Oryzias latipes: one gene and its partners. The main gene of each other region encodes a partner of the protein of the gene in region 2 in a complex. Links are inferred from orthologs where the notes say so. Each region holds a gene or a part of one and is shown on either strand. Other genes may lie near its edges.

Evidence for each region. Proteins that work in one complex are often made in the same cells at the same time.
Region 1: the proteins of orc3 (region 2) and orc2 are in contact, whole or in part, in a cryo-EM structure (PDB 7JPO), measured with the Homo sapiens proteins. The link is inferred for Oryzias latipes from reciprocal best matches to the Homo sapiens genes ORC3 and ORC2. Residues at the interface, in NP_036513.2 of Homo sapiens: Thr3, Ser4, Ser5, Met6, Ser7, Lys8, Gly9, Cys10, Phe11, Val12, Phe13, Lys14, Pro15, Arg20, Ile22, Ile26, Tyr29, Phe30, Lys32, Tyr47, Val111, Thr112, Lys139, Asp318, Lys326, Gln329, Leu330, Leu333, Tyr337, Glu589; in NP_006181.1 of Homo sapiens: Leu239, Glu242, Tyr243, Ala246, His247, Asp268, Arg273, Leu276, Val279, Ser280, Phe283, Glu286, Leu287, Leu290, Lys296, Leu297, His299, Lys300, Met302, Leu303, Gln304, His306, Leu307, Phe309, Tyr314, Gly315, Leu316, Arg320, Glu324, Arg327.
Region 3: the proteins of orc3 (region 2) and orc4 are in contact, whole or in part, in a cryo-EM structure (PDB 7JPO), measured with the Homo sapiens proteins. The link is inferred for Oryzias latipes from reciprocal best matches to the Homo sapiens genes ORC3 and ORC4. Residues at the interface, in NP_036513.2 of Homo sapiens: Thr227, His260, Arg261, Leu262, Leu263, Pro264, His265, Ala266, Ser269; in NP_001177808.1 of Homo sapiens: Pro370, Lys374, Glu377, Gln381, Ser392, Gly393, Asn394, Ser395, Gln396, Arg397.
Region 4: the proteins of orc3 (region 2) and orc5 are in contact, whole or in part, in a cryo-EM structure (PDB 7JPO), measured with the Homo sapiens proteins. The link is inferred for Oryzias latipes from reciprocal best matches to the Homo sapiens genes ORC3 and ORC5. Residues at the interface, in NP_036513.2 of Homo sapiens: Glu99, Val109, Met144, Lys145, Leu148, His178, Ser180, Met181, Asp182, Glu223, Asp232, Ile235, Ile236, Gln239, His240, Ala253, Thr254, Ser255, Pro256, Ile257, Ile258, Ile259, Arg261, His265, Ser269, Cys272, Ile273, Glu274, Leu275, Ser280; in NP_002544.1 of Homo sapiens: Asn62, Val64, Glu65, Phe67, Thr68, Arg70, Leu71, Gln75, Tyr129, Leu270, Arg271, Ser274, Ser275, Ser276, Gln277, Leu294, His297, Thr298, His299, Val300, Glu301, Leu302, Pro303, Tyr304, Tyr305, Ser306, Asp360, Tyr367, Arg373, Pro376.

Annotation. Positions count from the first base shown.
Region 1 is NC_019875.2:17,274,116-17,278,219, forward strand, and holds the start of orc2 (origin recognition complex subunit 2), read right to left. Parts: upstream 2,806-4,104; 5' UTR 2,665-2,805; coding exon 2,538-2,664; intron 2,463-2,537; coding exon 2,310-2,462; intron 1-2,309. UniProt on the Homo sapiens protein: Component of the origin recognition complex (ORC) that binds origins of replication. DNA-binding is ATP-dependent. The specific DNA sequences that define origins of replication have not been identified yet.
Region 2 is NC_019880.2:10,107,398-10,111,560, forward strand, and holds the start of orc3 (origin recognition complex subunit 3), read right to left. Parts: upstream 2,805-4,163; 5' UTR 2,682-2,804; coding exon 2,658-2,681; intron 2,552-2,657; coding exon 2,494-2,551; intron 2,414-2,493; coding exon 2,316-2,413; intron 458-2,315; coding exon 319-457; intron 228-318; coding exon 123-227; intron 26-122; coding exon 1-25. UniProt on the Homo sapiens protein: Component of the origin recognition complex (ORC) that binds origins of replication. DNA-binding is ATP-dependent. The specific DNA sequences that define origins of replication have not been identified yet.
Region 3 is NC_019860.2:3,473,669-3,477,969, forward strand, and holds the start of orc4 (origin recognition complex subunit 4), read right to left. Parts: upstream 2,806-4,301; 5' UTR 2,678-2,805; exon of another isoform or gene 2,672-2,677; intron 2,588-2,671; exon of another isoform or gene 2,569-2,587; intron 2,018-2,568; 5' UTR 2,012-2,017; coding exon 1,955-2,011; intron 1,870-1,954; coding exon 1,793-1,869; intron 1,642-1,792; coding exon 1,551-1,641; intron 1,478-1,550; coding exon 1,402-1,477; intron 1,320-1,401; coding exon 1,234-1,319; intron 1,152-1,233; coding exon 1,103-1,151; intron 1,023-1,102; coding exon 871-1,022; intron 800-870; coding exon 626-799; intron 1-625. UniProt on the Homo sapiens protein: Component of the origin recognition complex (ORC) that binds origins of replication. DNA-binding is ATP-dependent. The specific DNA sequences that define origins of replication have not been identified yet.
Region 4 is NC_019881.2:17,806,395-17,810,513, reverse strand, and holds the start of orc5 (origin recognition complex subunit 5), read left to right. Parts: upstream 1-1,314; 5' UTR 1,315-1,596; coding exon 1,597-1,710; intron 1,711-3,562; coding exon 3,563-3,655; intron 3,656-4,119. Other genes in the region: LHFPL tetraspan subfamily member 3 protein, read right to left, coding at 1-207. UniProt on the Homo sapiens protein: Component of the origin recognition complex (ORC) that binds origins of replication. DNA-binding is ATP-dependent. The specific DNA sequences that define origins of replication have not been identified yet.

The sequences.
Region 1 (4,104 bases), on a different chromosome or scaffold from region 2:
TTTATTTTCCTTATCCGACCTGGCATCTACCTTAAAACTTTACAGCTGGATAGCTCAGATATAACTCTCCATTTTTGTTGCACCTGTATTGTTAGGTAGGAGGTTTGAAGGGCTGTAAGCTAGCAAGCGAACGTGTAAACAGGTGGATGATGGGAAGTGGGGTAGGGCTTATTCCACGGCCATTGGTCCCGCCCACAACTCAAAGGCGAATTTCTAATGAACCACTGCAGCTCAGCAGAAATTATGTCCTAGAAAACAACACAGCCTTTATTTTATTTAGGCTAAAAAGGTATAGTCATAATCAGAAGATGTTTTGAAAATAGCTGAAAAGATGACCAGAGAGGGACTTTAAAGATTCTCAGACTGCTCTAATTGACTGTTTCAATAAGTTAAACCTGCTAGATTATTTTTTGCTATGCACAATTCAACCCAACAACTACAATAACATTATTAATAATATACAAACATTACACCTTGTACAAGAAGAAAACAGTAATTAATATGTTAATACACTTTATACATTTTAATACACTTTATTTAATACAATGAAATGTGATTATAATCTATCAAAAATACCAATGAAACTATCAAACTTTTACTTTTACTTAGAATTTGGGAAGACGCTTTTCACCCATAACTTCTCCCCTCACAACACTGTTTTATGGAACAACAGATTTATAGCTGTAAACAAGAAATCCTTGTTTATGTCTGAATGGTATGATTATGGTGTGTGTTTTGTTCATGACTTGATGCATACTGATGGAATGTTGTTATCATACAATGAGTTTGTAACTAAATACAAAATTAAGGATTCTAGTAACTGTTATAACAAAGTCTGTAAAGAAATTCCAATACCTTTACTTAATCTTATTCATAACATACTACAATACAATGCAATCCAACCACAATTTTCACAGCTGAAAATTAATGATATTCCCATAAAAGATAAAAAATGCAACAATAAATTAGTAACTCTAACCTTTAAACAAATCATTTTCTGCAACTTTAGTAAAAAAAAATAGATGCGACTTAGAAACCACCCTAATGGACAAATCTTTTTCTTAATACAAAAAGTTCCCACTTCCACCTAAAATGAAAGAAACACATTTAAAAATAATATTGAAAAATTTACCCTGTTGGAAATTTTTAACATAAAAGATTCAAATTTCAATGGGAACCATGGCTATTCTGTTCATCTGAAACTGAAACGTTGGAACATCTCTTTTACAGTTTCAACCAGATACAAATATTTTGGACTGATATTCACAATTTGTTGTCACTTAAAGTTTTAAATATTCCCTTTTTTTCTTTATCTGATGGTTTTTTCTATATGGAAAATCTGGACCCGGGAATTTCTGATGTCATTAATGTTGTTATTATTTTATGCAAACATTTCATTCATTTATGTAAATGGAAAAATACATGCCCTTTGTTTAGTATTTTTTGAATTATTGTTCTGATTATTATGAGTGTCTTAAATGCATTCCAAAACAAAAACAAGAAAACTTCAGTAATTTCTCAAAATATATCAAAAGTATTGTTATTTTGGGGCGACAGTGGCTCAGGTGGTTGGGCGGGTCGTCCAATGATCAAAGGGTTGGCGGTTCGATCCCCGCTCCCACCAGCCAAAAATGTTGTTGTGTCCTTGGGCAAGACACTTCACCCTCCTTGCCTCCAGTGTGGCTCCACTGGTGTGTGAATGCACATGAATGATCCTGGTGATGGTCAGAGGGGTGCGAAATGGCAGCCACGCCTCTGTCAGTCTGCCCCAGGGCAGCTGTGGCTGCAACTGTAGCTTACCATCATCAAGTATGAATGAGGAGTGAATGAATAATGGACATAATGTAAGCGCCCTTGGGTGTCTTGAAAAGCGCAGATAAATCCAATCCATTATTATTGCCTTTTTTTAAATTTTGTTTTGTTTTTTCTATATGCACATTTATAACGATTGTTCACCCTAACTTGGTTTGTATATGAGCATTTATAAAAAAGAAAAAAGAGGCACACGTTATTAATAATATTAGTATTATTGTTTATTTTTTGGTCTTATGTGTGTGTTTGATATTAACAATTGTTGCTTTATTGTGCAAATTGTGTGAATTTCTGTAAATTGAAAAAAAAATGTACAATAAAGTTTATTGGAAAAAATAGAGAGCGAGAGTCTGTATCCATTCCTGTGTATGTCAACATCTGCATGTAAAGAGCTGTGATGTACCTTTAGTTCTTCATGGCAGGAGTAGGGTTAACTTGTTTATTGAAGTTGTAAATAAGCAAAAAATGACTAAATGACAGAGTTGTTGTCGCCTCACCTGTTGCATTATCTGCTCCCAAAGCCTGGATATAATTCTGCTCGTCAAAGACCTCATCTTCCTCCTGTTCTTCCTCCTCCAGGCACCCCCGACGTCCAGCGGGGCTCTTAAACGTCACCATCCTCTGCACAGACTTTCCGCCGCCCAGCACGCCTGCGCAGACCAAACACAGGGAGTTTAAGATCACCGCGTCTGCGCAGATTTGTTGAAAGACTTAAAAGCTTTTACCGTCATGTTTCTCCACGATGTGCTCCAGAACATCCTCATCCCCGACAAACTTCACCTCCATCGCGCTCGGTCCTCTAATGGCAAACACAACACACTGCGTGGTTGGACGCCGAGAAGACCGATACATACAGGTTGACCAAAAATATAAAACTTTATGAAAAAACACACTGACAGCGTGGGAAAAGCTCGTAAAAACTAAGCACCTTGCAGAGAAACGTTAGCAAACTGAACTAAATACCACGGTGAGCTGACAACTTCCCGCGCCATCCTTCTGAAGGTTTAAACCACGTGACAGGCGAAAGGTCGTGTACTGACCAATCACAGCCCACACACTTAAAAAATCATTACCCAGAATGCACTTCAAAGTCTAACTTTTGTAAAGGTTTCCGATATAATTTTTTTCACTTATTTTTTTTTTAACAACATACAAAAGAAATGTGTGAGTGGCCGTTGTAAAGATAGAAATAAAGCAAAAAGAAGGAACTAAAGTTTATAAGAAAATGTGCCTTTTTAAACACACGTTTATTTCAGACTCAGATGTGGTCCATAGAAAAAGATACAAATACAGTATACATAATAAAAAGTAAAAATATATAAATTAAAAAGAGTATAATCGCTGTATCCAGTGTTTCCTCAGGGCAGAAGTGTAGCTGCATGAGCTTCTTTTGGGATCAGTCAGAGACATGATAATTGAGTTCTTAGATTTGTCTAGGCGTTCCATAAGGCCGTATGTAAGCTTACGCAGTAGTGCTTCACTGGTGGGGATGTGAGCATCCACAAATAGCTGACTGGCTCTGTACCACCTTGGCACCTGTAGCAGAAGCCTAAAAGCATCATTATAGGCCACTAAGAATTTGCGGTATGTCCCACGTCCATAGTTCCACCAAAGAGGGGCCGTATACAGAGGAGTGCAGTAAGCTCTGAACAGCGAACATTTCACTTGAAGAGAACACGTACTGAATTTTCTCATCAGCATGTTTGCCTGAGCATAGAGTTTACAGTACTGTCTCTGAATGTCTCTATCATCCCTCCAATCATCAGTAATGAAATGTCCAAGGTATTTGATAGATGAGGTTTGTTCCAGAGGCGTTCCACAAAGCTTAAAAACAGGAAAGTTTACATTTCTGTCGTCTTTGGTCCTTACAATCATTACTTTGCTTTTAGAGGGATTGTAGTTTATATCAAAATCTCTGCCATAGTCAGAACAAACTTTTAAAAGTGTTTGTAACCCAGCACTGTAGGGGCTAAAAATGACAAGGTCATCAGCATACATAAGATGATTAAAGGTCTGACATCCAACAACACACCCAGTTTTGCACAGATTCAGAAATTACTTTAGTCGAAATTGCCTTTTTTGTTTTAATTTGTTTGAGGATTTTACCAAAAAGTGTTTTAAATAAATTTTTAATTTGACTATGACCTTTTTTGAATATGAAAATTCTCCAAAAACCAAATCAATTGTTTTATAAAAAAACAATGTTCCAGTCAACGTTGATCATAACAACCCATAATGATGTCCTTTTCTGAAAGTTTTAATGTTTTTCCAGTTTTATATGACTGAATTTTA
Region 2 (4,163 bases):
ACCCTCTTCAACAAATGCTTCAGTGCTACAAAAATCAAGCAGGAAAACCATATACCAGTAACTGAAAGTTTGGTGAGTCACTGTATACACTGAGAAAGTATATGAAAGTATTCAGCTCTTACCTCCACATTCCTTGGCCTGCAGAGAGACCACATAAGGAGTGACAGACTGTCTGAGTAGGTCCGAGAGGCTGCTGAAGGTCAGGTCGTGATCGGGAACGTTGACACCTGGAGAGCAGGTCAAAGAAACGTCAAACCGCGCCAAAAATAGTGGGGTTTTATCGGGTTAGCTGGTTCCTGAAGAATGTACGCCGCATACCCAGCATGAGGGCAGCTGTGGGAATTTCACTGGCCCTCATCTGCGATGCCCAGTCGCCGTGACAACGAGCGGAGGAACACTTCCTGCTGAACTCCAGTAAGCTGTCCAAGATTTTCCTATGGAGTTCATCCTGCAAAACCTTAAAATGACATTTAAAAAAAAGCATCAAAAAACGTATCTGAAGGTTATATGTGAAGGTGGAGTAATGCACACTCCACCAAGCCTTCCAGGGAGAAGAGACGGAGAAGCCCACTGCTCCACCTTAGGATCCCTGTTTACACAGGTAGATATTCATATTTACTAGTTTGTTGTTATCAAATCATTTATTTGTTGGTGTTTTTCTTTTCATTTGGTTGTTCATTGATTTTGTTGCATTATTCCAATTGCCCTGAGGCTTGGAGCCCCTCCCCACTGACTTTAGGATTTAGGTCAGGTGAAGCTGGGAGTAGAAAAGTGACTCAGGAAGAATAAGACCAGAAGGTTCACTTGAATTTATTTTTAAGCGTAGTGATGGTTCCGGCAACACCGACGCGCCGGCTCACGTGTCGAGCTCATAAAGAGAAACCCTCTGTTGGTGCGCGCATCACTTCAGGAGAAGTCACGTGACCAACACAGCCACTGTGTGTGTGTGTGTATGTGTGTGTGTGTGTGTGTGTCACACAGGAGTCAAACAAGGAAGCGCGTCTACCAGCAGTGTTGCCAGATTCTGCGGTTTCCCACCCAATTGGGTGGTTTTGACTTAGAAATTGCAGAGGAAAAAGAAAAAAGAAGAAAAAAAAGTTCATGCACCTGATCCGTGTCCAGTTTCCCGGTTTATTATGTTTCATTTTACCAAATCTTCCCTAACGGTGTTGAATGCTGTGTTTTTATTTGGTTGGTGGAATTTCTTCATAGTTTTACTAGTGTTTTTAGCTTTTGGTCCCCCTGTTCCTCTCAGTTTATGCTGAATCTAGCAGAATACCAATCCATTTCAAACAGACTCTTTTTTTAATTATTATTTAATCATTTTATGTTTTGGAGGTTAAAGCAGAACTGCCAAACTACCTCCTTCATGCTGGGACATTATAGAGCGAGACATGGGAATGAGGAACTACAAAGACAAATATTGTTTTTACACTAGTTTATGTATATATCTGTTTAGTTTTTTTAACTTGGTAGCCTGCAGTGATGTTTTCAGTCCAGCATGAGTCTGCATCGAATGACACAGTATTGACAGATTATCAATACGGTTTAGGAATGTGCCAAAATACAACATGACGCCTCATCTACCATCACTACACTGTTGTAAATGTATACAAGTGCCATATATATTGTGTCCTATGGACTATTTTGCCTCACTGAAAAATATTTATGGTCATTTTCTATAACATTTCTTGTTTTTACACCTCTCTGTGTTATTTTAACTATTTGTTTATTATTTATTATTTAGACCTCGGATTTTGTTTGATTATTTATTATTAAAATCAAAGAGATGCATATCTATACGTGGGTATATCAAACTTTGGATAGTTAATCGTGACTTGATTGGAAAAGTAAAAAATACAAGTAGTTCTAAATTATGTTATTATAGTTACTCAAATCAAAAATATACACATTGGTATTTATAGATAAAATACATGACACATGAAATTCATTAAGTGTGAAGTTTGTCTGAAAAAAAGGTTTAAATCTTTGCTTTAAAATTAGAGTGATTAAGCAAAGTTATATAATCCCACCCCTAGTATGATTTACATGACTTTTTAAAAAAATATTTATTATATTCTAGTTCAAAACTTAATAAGAGTCATTTTTACTTTACCAGTCCAATTGCAGATCATTTGTCAAATTCATACGTATTAATATAAAATCACAAAGAAAGTGCCTATTGAATTTGACTATATTTCAGAAGTTAGAATCCTGTTTATTTTACTGAATTTTGATCAGGCACCTAAGTCGATACCTAATTTGGTTTCGACTAAAACTTAAAGTAATTATATTCTCTCTTCAGCGTTTCTTACCTCAGTTTCAGTTTCGATCTGCTTCCACAGATCCTGGCAGAGCTTGAATCGCCTCTGGCCGCTTTCCGGACCCGCGCAGTCATGAATAAAATAACTTTCTGTGTGGACAAAAAAAAGAAAAGACAAGTTAGCATAGAGTCTTAGGAACCATTATAAAACACTGACTGAGACTCCTCACCCTGACTGACATCCTGCTTCTTCCTCTTCTTCGGACTGGGCTTAAAAACAAAGCATCCCTGCGGACAGCACAATCAGAAGCAGGTAAAGAAAAAAATATCGCAGCCATCTTGTTTTATTTTCGTTACGACTTCAAGTAGATCTGCGCGCAGCAGAAAATATCACCTTTGACACAGATGACGTAGACATCTCTGAGATATCGAGGAGGCCGCCGATCCTCCAAAGATCCAGGCATTCAGTAAACTAGTGTTTAGTGAAATGCCGGCTGCATGTCTTCCTAAAATCGTCGTTTTCCCGCCAAAGTGACGTCACAGTTTAGCCAATGAAACGGCAGTAAAATTGAACGCCCCGCCCAACCAGAATACGTTCACTTCTAAGTGCCTTATTTAGTAAAATAAACTTCTTTTTTTATCTTAACTTAAGAAAAAGAAAATCTTATTAAGTGTCAAATAAGTTTCTTTTTAAAGTAATAATGGATTAAATTATTTGAAAACAAAAATATTGTAATCCACCTATAATGAGATGAACTGAAAATATATTTAGAACATATTTGTGCAAAGTAAAATAAATACTTTATCATAAAATAATTTTAAAATGTATTTGAAAAAACTTTATTTTTAAAATTGTTGTAGAGATCTATAAACAGCACTATTGGTCTAAAAATTTAGAGCACCTTATTTATATTTTTTATTTAAATGTATTCTGTGTAATGTCTTGATAGCAGCTGGATCTACAAAAAAGGAATCCCAAAACTAATTTATAGACCAAAATTTACTTTAGTTTAATCAAAATCACCATTTTTCTTACCTCAGGAACGCTCTTTCATAGATATTTTCACAAGTTCTTTGGGGCTCGTAAGCTTCTTTGCTCCCAAACCAGCTTCCTAGCAATCTGGAGACTGTGCTGACTGACCCCTGCGTGTTTTCAAGTTTACCGTCTTGTTTTGTCTTCAGGTAGTTCTGGCAAAGCTTGGATTTGTGTTTTAGGTCATTCATTTGTTGTAGTACAAACTCTTAACCAACTCAGCACCCAAGCGCTGCAGTCTTGTGGTGGCTGAGTTGGTTTAAGGTGCCTCTTGCCCTATTTATATCACTGACCCCAAAACAGCTCCATACCATCACACTTCCTCCTCCGTGTTTCACAATTGATGTCCCACACAGTGGAGCTGTTCTTTCACATTTTGACAACACATAAAAACAATTTGAAATAAAGATTTTTTACTTTTGATTATCGATTTATGAAGGCTTCTTCCAGTCTTCAGTAGTCCAGTGTTTCCTGAATCAGTGAGGACTTTTTGCTTTGTTGTGATGTTTCCGTAATGCCTTTCTTGCTGCAACTTGTTTTGTCAATCTCATACCTCCAAGTCTATTTTTCACTGTGTAAGTGGAAACCCCCTTTAATGGCCACAATTAAATTGTTGTGAGTTTGGGTCTGTTTGACCTCTTCCTATCAGTTTCCTGCATTTTCTGAGTGCCTTTTGATATTGATGAAAACCGTACCTATTGACACCTTAACATTTCATAAACATATAAAGCACCACACACGCAGAAACATTAAAGAATTTAAAAGTTATTTTTGGATACTCATTTTCTTCCTGTATCAATCATTATTTGGTTGTTTTATTAGGATATTTTGTTTCACTGCCTAAAATTTACTTTTTTCAAATTATTA
Region 3 (4,301 bases), on a different chromosome or scaffold from region 2:
TATCCTTAAATAAATATCAATGCTTTCCATAGCAACCAATACTTAAGCTTGTCAGACAATGTTGCATTCAGCTCGACACGAGCATGAACCCTTTAACGTGGGAGCTGTCGCCGGTGACATGAAAATAGCACAATTAACACATAATTAACGGAATTGGGAAACGGATTGTGATGCGGAGAAAAAGCAGCTTTGCAAATGATGTTTGCACCAATATGCAACTTTTTCCCCTGAGTCAAAATCAGCCGATTTACATTGATCGCATAACTAAAGATCAAAAATAGTTGCACCGACCAGAGGTCTTTGGTGCAATTAAGTTTTTCTGCCAAATGTCTTGAACACTTATCCTCACTCAAAATTAAGCAAGACAAAAAAACAAACTAAATCAGTGAATTTTACCAGATCATGTTTCCACAGGCTCCCTAGAGGAATCAAGTCCATAGCAACCATAGATTTTTTCTTTCTTTCATGTTTTGGGCTGATAAACAAGTACGACACGTTTCATATCTCTATCCTAAAATATGTGTGAAAAGTTTCCATAGCAACGACTATTGTTGCCTGCTACACAATATCAAATGACACATTGTTAGATTCTTGATCACCTAGTGAAACATTTCACTTGGTTTACCTTTACACTGGCGTTCCACTCCTGAGCGAACCTGCTGTCGCAGAAATCATCGGAGAGGCTGAGCTGGGCCCGGACTCGGTCCAGGTACTGACTGAACGTCAAGCCGCTCAGCAGGTGGATCTGTCGGTGAGAAAACCTGGACTTCACCCGCTTCTCTAGCAGCTCCAGGACATCCTGAGAAGACAGGAAGACGTCAAAGGGGTGCTACTCTTCCCTGACGAAAAAGTAAAAAAAAAGAGACCCACCAGCCTGCAGGTGAGTCCCACCACGGCGACGGGCGCCTGGGTGGACTGCGACACGTCAAACAGGTTGTAGAGCAGCGTTTGGTTCTTGTGGTGGGCGAACAGGTCGAACTCGTCCAGGACGAACAACACGGGGCGGCTGCTGGTGCGATCACCTGACGGAACCACAAACACAACCAGAGTGCTGGAGAGGACCGGATTTCACCGTCATCCACTTAAATTTAACCCGTCCAACCTTTCTTCAGAGCTTCCAGCAGGAAAGCCAAATTCTCAGCGAAGCTTCCCTGAAACGGGGAAAAAAAAAGAAAACATTTTTGGATCCGATTTAAGGCAAAAATGGCCGCCAAACTAAAAAGAAAAACATACGAAAACTTTCTCTCCAACGACGTTCTCCAGGTGGAGCTGCCTGGTTATTTCTTTAAGTGCAATTCTGTCGTCGGTCTGTAGGAGGCCTGGAACAAAAAACAAAAACAAAGAAAATTACTAAATTACTAGAGGAGCAGGCAGATTTGGAGGACACAAAGTCGCAATTACCGTTAAGGTGGACCTGCAGAAGGTTTTCCTGCACCTCCTTCTCCTCCAGCAGCTCCTGCAGAACGCTCCTCAGCAGCTGCGCAAACGCAGACGCCGTCAGACAACCAGCACTGCCCACCCTCAGCACCCCTCCCTCGCCGCCTCCTCACCGAGCTTTTCCCCGCTCCCCTCGGCCCGACGATCAGCACCGAGTTGCTCTCCCCGTAGACAGCGGTGCGCCTCAGCAGCTCCTCCAGGTGCCTGTATGGGCGGAGCTTCAAGTGAGCTTTGACAAACGATGGGGGGTGGGGCACCAAACTAGGTCGGCGCCGTCAGCCTGAACTGGGTCACAGAGCTGCGGGTCGTCTTTGCTTTAATCAGACACATAGCTAAAATAAAAATAAAAACCCACTTGTGTTGAGCTCCAACTCCATCGAGTCCTTTGGCTAGTTTTTGCTGGCAGTATCGCTCCCTCAAGATCCGTTGAACCTAGAAATTCATAAAAACACAAACAAATTCATTAAGTTCCAAGTCACTACCACGCAAACTCAAGGTTTAAGGAAGGGATACAAGCCTGTGTGATGCATTCTCCCAGGGGCTGATGGGAGATTTTCCCTTTCCTCTTACTCATGATGGCCTGACGAGAAAAAAGTGCTTTGTTAATAAAGTTTGATTTAAATCAAATGATCAGACTTTGAAGTAAACAAGTTAAAACGTTAAAATGATCCCTTTAAGTATCCCACCTGACGTCACATTGGAAGCCGAATTGTAAATAAAGTTTTATGTATCAAGAATGAAGTCTTTTGTGTTTGTAGACATATAAACCCCGCCCAAAAAAAGGAATTTCTATATTTAAAGAAATGTAAACAGGAAGTCCGATGTTCCTAGTGCCGGGTAGATACTGTAAAACATGTTGCGTTGCTGTTGTATGAAAAGGGCTTTATAAATAAAGTTTGATTTGATTCCAATGATTGGGCTTTGAACATGTTAAACCGTCAAAATGAAGCCTTTAAGTGAATTTGCTGAGGTTATAATGTCAGCCGAATTGTAAATAAAGTTTTATTTATCAAATATAAACAGCGCATTCCGTTTCTAGACGTAAGAAATACGTCGTGGGAAAACATTATTTTAATGTAACCACATTTAAAACGGAAGTTCGGCTATTCGGTGATCCTGCTGGAGATGAACCTAAAAGAAACATCACGTTGAAGAAAAAAACACCCCCACGTGATCACGAAATGTTGAGAAGTTGAGCACAAAAAGTTGCATTTAGTAAACAAAAGTTGTTTACACTCACGCGGCTCCAGAAAACACCAAACAGTAGCCCCCCGGAATCTTCCCGCGACTTTTGCGACACACGAGATGACTACTTCCGGCATGGGCTGAATCTCCGGTCTCTGATTGGCTGGAAGAAAACTCGTGATTGACTGAAAGCGGATGAGTATATTTTTTCTTTAAAATAAAGGTTAGTAAAACGCTTTAAAACATCAGAAACGGCATTAAAATATGTAAATAATTGATAAATAATAATATTATAATGTTGTTTCAAACAGAAGCATGGTTTGTGAGTTTTCTCAGTGCTGTGTCCGTTTTTAAATTACATTTAATCTAAATCCCATGATGACTTTTACTGATTCATTTTCATTGGAAATGTGCAATTTCTTTTTTTTTTTAATTGGTTTTATTACCAAACTAAGAAAAAAGTTTGGGAAAAAAATAATAATTTTGGGGGGTCTATTTTTCATTTTTTCTTTATGATGCAAATAAAAGAGATTATCTCGATGTAAACACAGATTTATAAAACATAAAAATTTACTTTATTTTGTTTAAATATTTTAATTTTGTTGTTAATGACTAGGGAAAAAAACAAAGTAACAAAAAAGAACAAAAATCAAAGAAAACCAGTTAGCTTTTTTTGCCACCTTTTTTATTTTTACCTTAATGCTTTTCTTCTTTAATGTCCCTTTAGGAGCTCCGTAGAATTCTTCTGAGCTACCAGTCTACGTTCATATGACCACTTCCAATAAAAAGTCTATGTAAACAGGTGTAAATGCATGTGACAGGCCTCCAAGTTCAAAACATAAATAGGCAAGTTTTTATGGCCATTTTTGGGCTCGACTAACGAAATGTTCATTGAATGTGTCTTAAAGCGGGTCAAACTTTGACCAATCGGGGCCCTCGGATCTGGTTGTGATGAACAAACGGCGTCCCTTTTGATTCATGGAAGAATTAACATGTTGAAAAGTCTTTCATACCGGAATAGAGCTGTGCTAGAAAAAAAACAAAAAAGAATTCCCAAGATTCGCACCACTTCAACATTTTGCACTAACCCACTACCAACTGTAGATGGCGCACATGCGCTAGTAAACAGTGAACAAAAAAAAGTAGAGGAAGAATCCCTCCCTGCTTGTCCATTGTGAAAACCGTGGGCTAGACGCACGTTTAAGAACTTGCATTCAAGTAACCACATCCAAAAAAATAAAAGTGTATAAACACGTATTTCGGACTTCCAAGTTTAAAACGTTCCCATTTACATAGAGATGCGCAAATTTCTACAACCATGGGCTAAATGACCAATTCGTCATTTCGCGCTAAGCCTCTTTCAACTGTAGGTGGTGGTAAGGCGCTAGTCAACAGAAGCCCCTTCTCGCTAGTCCATTGTGAACATTGTGGACTAAACGCGTGTTCAAGAAATCACGTTTAGCCTTTTCTTTTTCTTTTTTACACTCGCCACACCTCCCTCGGCAATTTGCATTCAAGAGGCCACTTCCGATAAAAACTCTACGTAAATGTGTGTCGATGCACGTTTCGGGTTTCTGTGTAGCTACGCAAGTCTTTACGACCATTTTTGTGCTGGACATGCTAAACTTGAACGCATGTTGCAAGTTAAAGTGGGTCCAACTTTGGCCAACCAGGGACTC
Region 4 (4,119 bases), on a different chromosome or scaffold from region 2:
GTAGCCCGCCTGAGGCGTGTCTGCGCCGTCCCCGATCCAGTACGGCTGGATGAAGCACACCACGTTGACGATGGCGAAGAGGATGGTGAATATCGCCCAGAGGACGCCGATGGCCCGGGAATTACGCACGTAGTTGGTTTGGTAGATCTTGGCAGCCTCCGAGGCGGGAAGCATGGTGGTGGTCGCGCTGGGGGCCCCGGGGACCATCCTCCGGTGTATGTGAGGTAAGAGACTTAAGATTTGCACTCAGTAAACAAACCTCTTCCTCGTCAGGTAGTAATCTTCATCAGAACTAGCTAATTTTCCTGTTTTACGTGGATGCTTTACGCGTCTTCAATGCGCGCTCGCATCCTTGACTTGAGCCCTCTTTGCGCTTTCCTCCTTCATCAATCTACGGGAGAAAAAGAAAGACAATCTATTGAAATGCTTGAGAAATCCTCTCTGCAGAAGGCTTCCTCTGCCCGCTCCCCTGATGTCTCCTCCTGGTGTTTCTGCCTGAGACGATAACACCGCTCCAGCTGCCACGAGTGGCTGAGATGTGGCTGAAATGGTCTGTGTGCTCTCGACGGAGCAGCAGCCGCGGATGAGATCCTATTGAATTAGAGTCGGAAGATAGTTGCGGATATTACACAGGCAACTCACATCCCTTAATCCCATTCTGACGCATTATTCCGGTAACGCGCGTAAATCCCGAACAGACACATTGATATGAAAGCAAATGCGAAGACTAAATGCTTTTGATTTTTCTGCTCGTCAATCCAGTGCGCATGACTGATACGATCAGCATAAATACAAGTTCATAAAAAAACAAGGATGCGCTCTTCCTACATATACAATTTTAAATAGGTTCGTTTACAAAATTTCTGAATTGTAGTCTATTTTCAAAATATAAATGTTAGGTATTCCTAATTAGTTTAGTTTGGTTAAATTTAATTATCATATTTCTTAAAACAAACACACAAATAATCCTAAAAAGGTGAAAGGTTAGAGACAATAAAATAAGTTTTATTGGGTAATGGGTAAATCAGGAAGGTTATTTACAATACAGATTAGCCAAAATATGTATAATTACTCGTTTTAATAAAAAAAAAATCATTCTTAACAGCTCATACTAGATGCATACTCTCCAACGTTTTTAAAATTACACATCATAATTATGAGATATATATGAAATAAAGTATAATTATTTATTTCGTTTCTTTTTTTAAAATACTTTTTGATTTAAAAGATGTCTAAAGTTGTTTTTTATTTTATGTTTCGGATTTTTACTACATTACCCAGAGTTCCACAATACTTTTCTGATTGGATCATACGGAGGCGGAGTTTATGACGTAATCCAACGGCGCGCAAAGTGATCGCAGCCGGTTTCAAGTACATTTGCTCGTTTTTCCTCGATAAAAACGTAGTTTTTGAGGAGTGTTTTAAAGTTTTGTATCACGCGCTTTCTTCGACTTAACGACGTCAAGTTCACTTTTTTGCCGCTAACGCTGGCGACCGTCATCTTTATTTTCGTGAAAGTTAAGCTAATGTTTTGGTTTGTTTATTAGTTTAGCTCCTCGTGGCTTCAACTATAAAGTTAGAACCAAGAAAAGCAGAATGGCGGGACTGTTAGAGCATCCTGGATACGACGAGGAGAGGCTGAAGAGAGCCGCAGAGCAGCTGCCCTGCAGAGAAGTTCAGGCTGGGATGTTGCTGTCCCTTATGGGAGAGGTATGGGGCCGTTAACTCAAGGAAGGTCCACCTGATAACAAAATTCCCAAAGCAAAACAGTGTAATTATTAGTCAATGTATTTATAAAATAATAATAATAAAGTTTTTCATAAATTCTCATTCTCGTGTTAAAACACCAGTCGGAGTTGCTTTAATACCCACTCTGATTCATTAAAAATTGTTTGTAACATGTACTTGTGGCATTTTTCCAATGTTCTAAAAGTATTTCTTTATTAAAATTGTGATCCAGGACCAGACGAAAAGGCTCTGTTTGAAAAAGATCGTATATTTGTGATGTAGAAAACACACAAGCTCCCTGCTCAGCTCCATTCTGATGCACTTGTAAACAAATAGATCCATGTATGTCTTTGTTTTCTTCGCCCAAACTAGTGTCTGGCGCCCAAATGTACGGCTGGATATAGCTCCAATATTGCTCACCCTTTTTGTTGCACCAGTAATGTTAGTTTGGGTGTTTGAGAAAGATAGTGGGAGAGTGTAAACAGAGCTGTGGGCAGGGTTACTCTGTGCCAACAGTCTTTCCCACAATCAGACGTGAATTTATAATGAATTACTGCCGCTCTGCAGAAACTATGTCTTAGAAAATGTCAGAGGGTTTTTGATTTTAGCTAAAAAAGGGCATCATCATAATTAAAAGACCACTGGGAACACTTTGTAAATAAATCAAAAGATGAATATAGTAGGTTGTAATTTTTATTATTATTATTATTATTATTTAAAAGTGTGTTCATGAATAGGAATTTAGTCTTTGTGAGACGAGATAGATTAAAGAGACTTTGGACAGAAACGTAGTCGTATTGTTCTTGCTATTTTTAAATTCTTACTTAAAATATAGAGACACACCTTGCACAATTACAGACTACCGTATTTTCCGGAGTATAAGTCGCACCAGCCCAAAAATGCATTATAAAGTAGAAAAAAACACAGATAAGTCGCACTGGACTATAAGTCGCATTTTAACTTTCACAACCTTATATGACACAATCATAGCAGACTGTTTATCTAATAATTTCACAGTAATTTTTTCTCAAACTTATTTATTTATTCCTTTCATGAAGCATCATTGGCTAACTAATACTCTGTTTTCATCCTGTATTTGTAGAAACAGTTTTCACTTTTATTGCATTTCTGAATCTATGAAATCTTTGGAAAATAGAATATTATGTTGTTAGCCTTCAAGATCTAACTGTAAAAAAAAGTTTGCTGATTCTCTGAGTCACTGAACATACTCTTAACACTTAACACTTACACTTAACACTTACCTCATACATCAAATTGACCCAGGAACATCATCTCTGTTCCTCACAAATGAACATAACAGGAGGGTTAACAATGTATTTATTTCAATTTATTTCTAATATAAGTCGCTGCGGAGTATAAGTCGCACCCCTTGCCAAACTATGAAAAAAAGTGCGACTTATAGTCCGGAAAATACGGGTATTTAAAATAAATACAAGAACTAAAAATAAAAAGGGAAATTTGGTGAAACAGGTGAGATGGACTTTAAAAATATGGAGTCACATTAGGCTAATAATTTCATTAAATAATGGACACTGTACTGAAATATGATATTTCTCTAAGTGTTACTCAAATATGTATATTTTGTATGTAATGATCTTGTTTTTATACTATTTTAAGCTGCCTTACAATCATCTTGAGCGTCTTGATAAGCGCTTCAAATAAAATAAAGTAACCCTTTTATTCTTGGGCATTTAGGTGATGACTAATATAGTATTTAGAGCATTTTTCAATGTATTATGTTGTTTTTACCTAGTACTGGTGCAATGATCTAATATTATTGACAGTAACATTCGTGTTATTTTTCTCTTGACAGCCACACCAGTACTGCTACCCCTCAATCTTCATCTACGGTCATCGGGCTTCAGGAAAAAGCCATGTAATAAATGTTCTGATGAAGGAGCTGGAGGTGATGTCTGTTAAATCCGTGGTTGTTTTGGTTTAGATGTGGTTTCTCAGTGTTGTCTTTTGACAGCGTCAAAGAAAAGATGGATTCTGAAAGCTTTTTCTCCTTAGGGTTTCATCTTTTTCGAAGTTGAAAGGATAATGAAGGAATGACAACAACAAGAGAACACGGGGTTTCTTTCAATAAACACTGAAAGAGTGTTTAGTTAATTAAACATTGCGCTTTTTTCAAGTAAATAAGTGGATTCTGGTGATGTCAATTACATTTGTGGGTTACAAAAGTAAAACGTGAAAAAGATGTGTTTTTGCTAAAACCAAAGGATTATTTATCATTTACATTTAATCTGCAAAAGATAAAATCCACCCTCTAAAGTGTTGTCTTTGTTTGGGCAGTATGTTGTTGGGTTTTTAAAAAGTAGCAGCTGGGATTTTTGTGCCATGTGATGTTTTTTTTTTTTGTGCATCCTC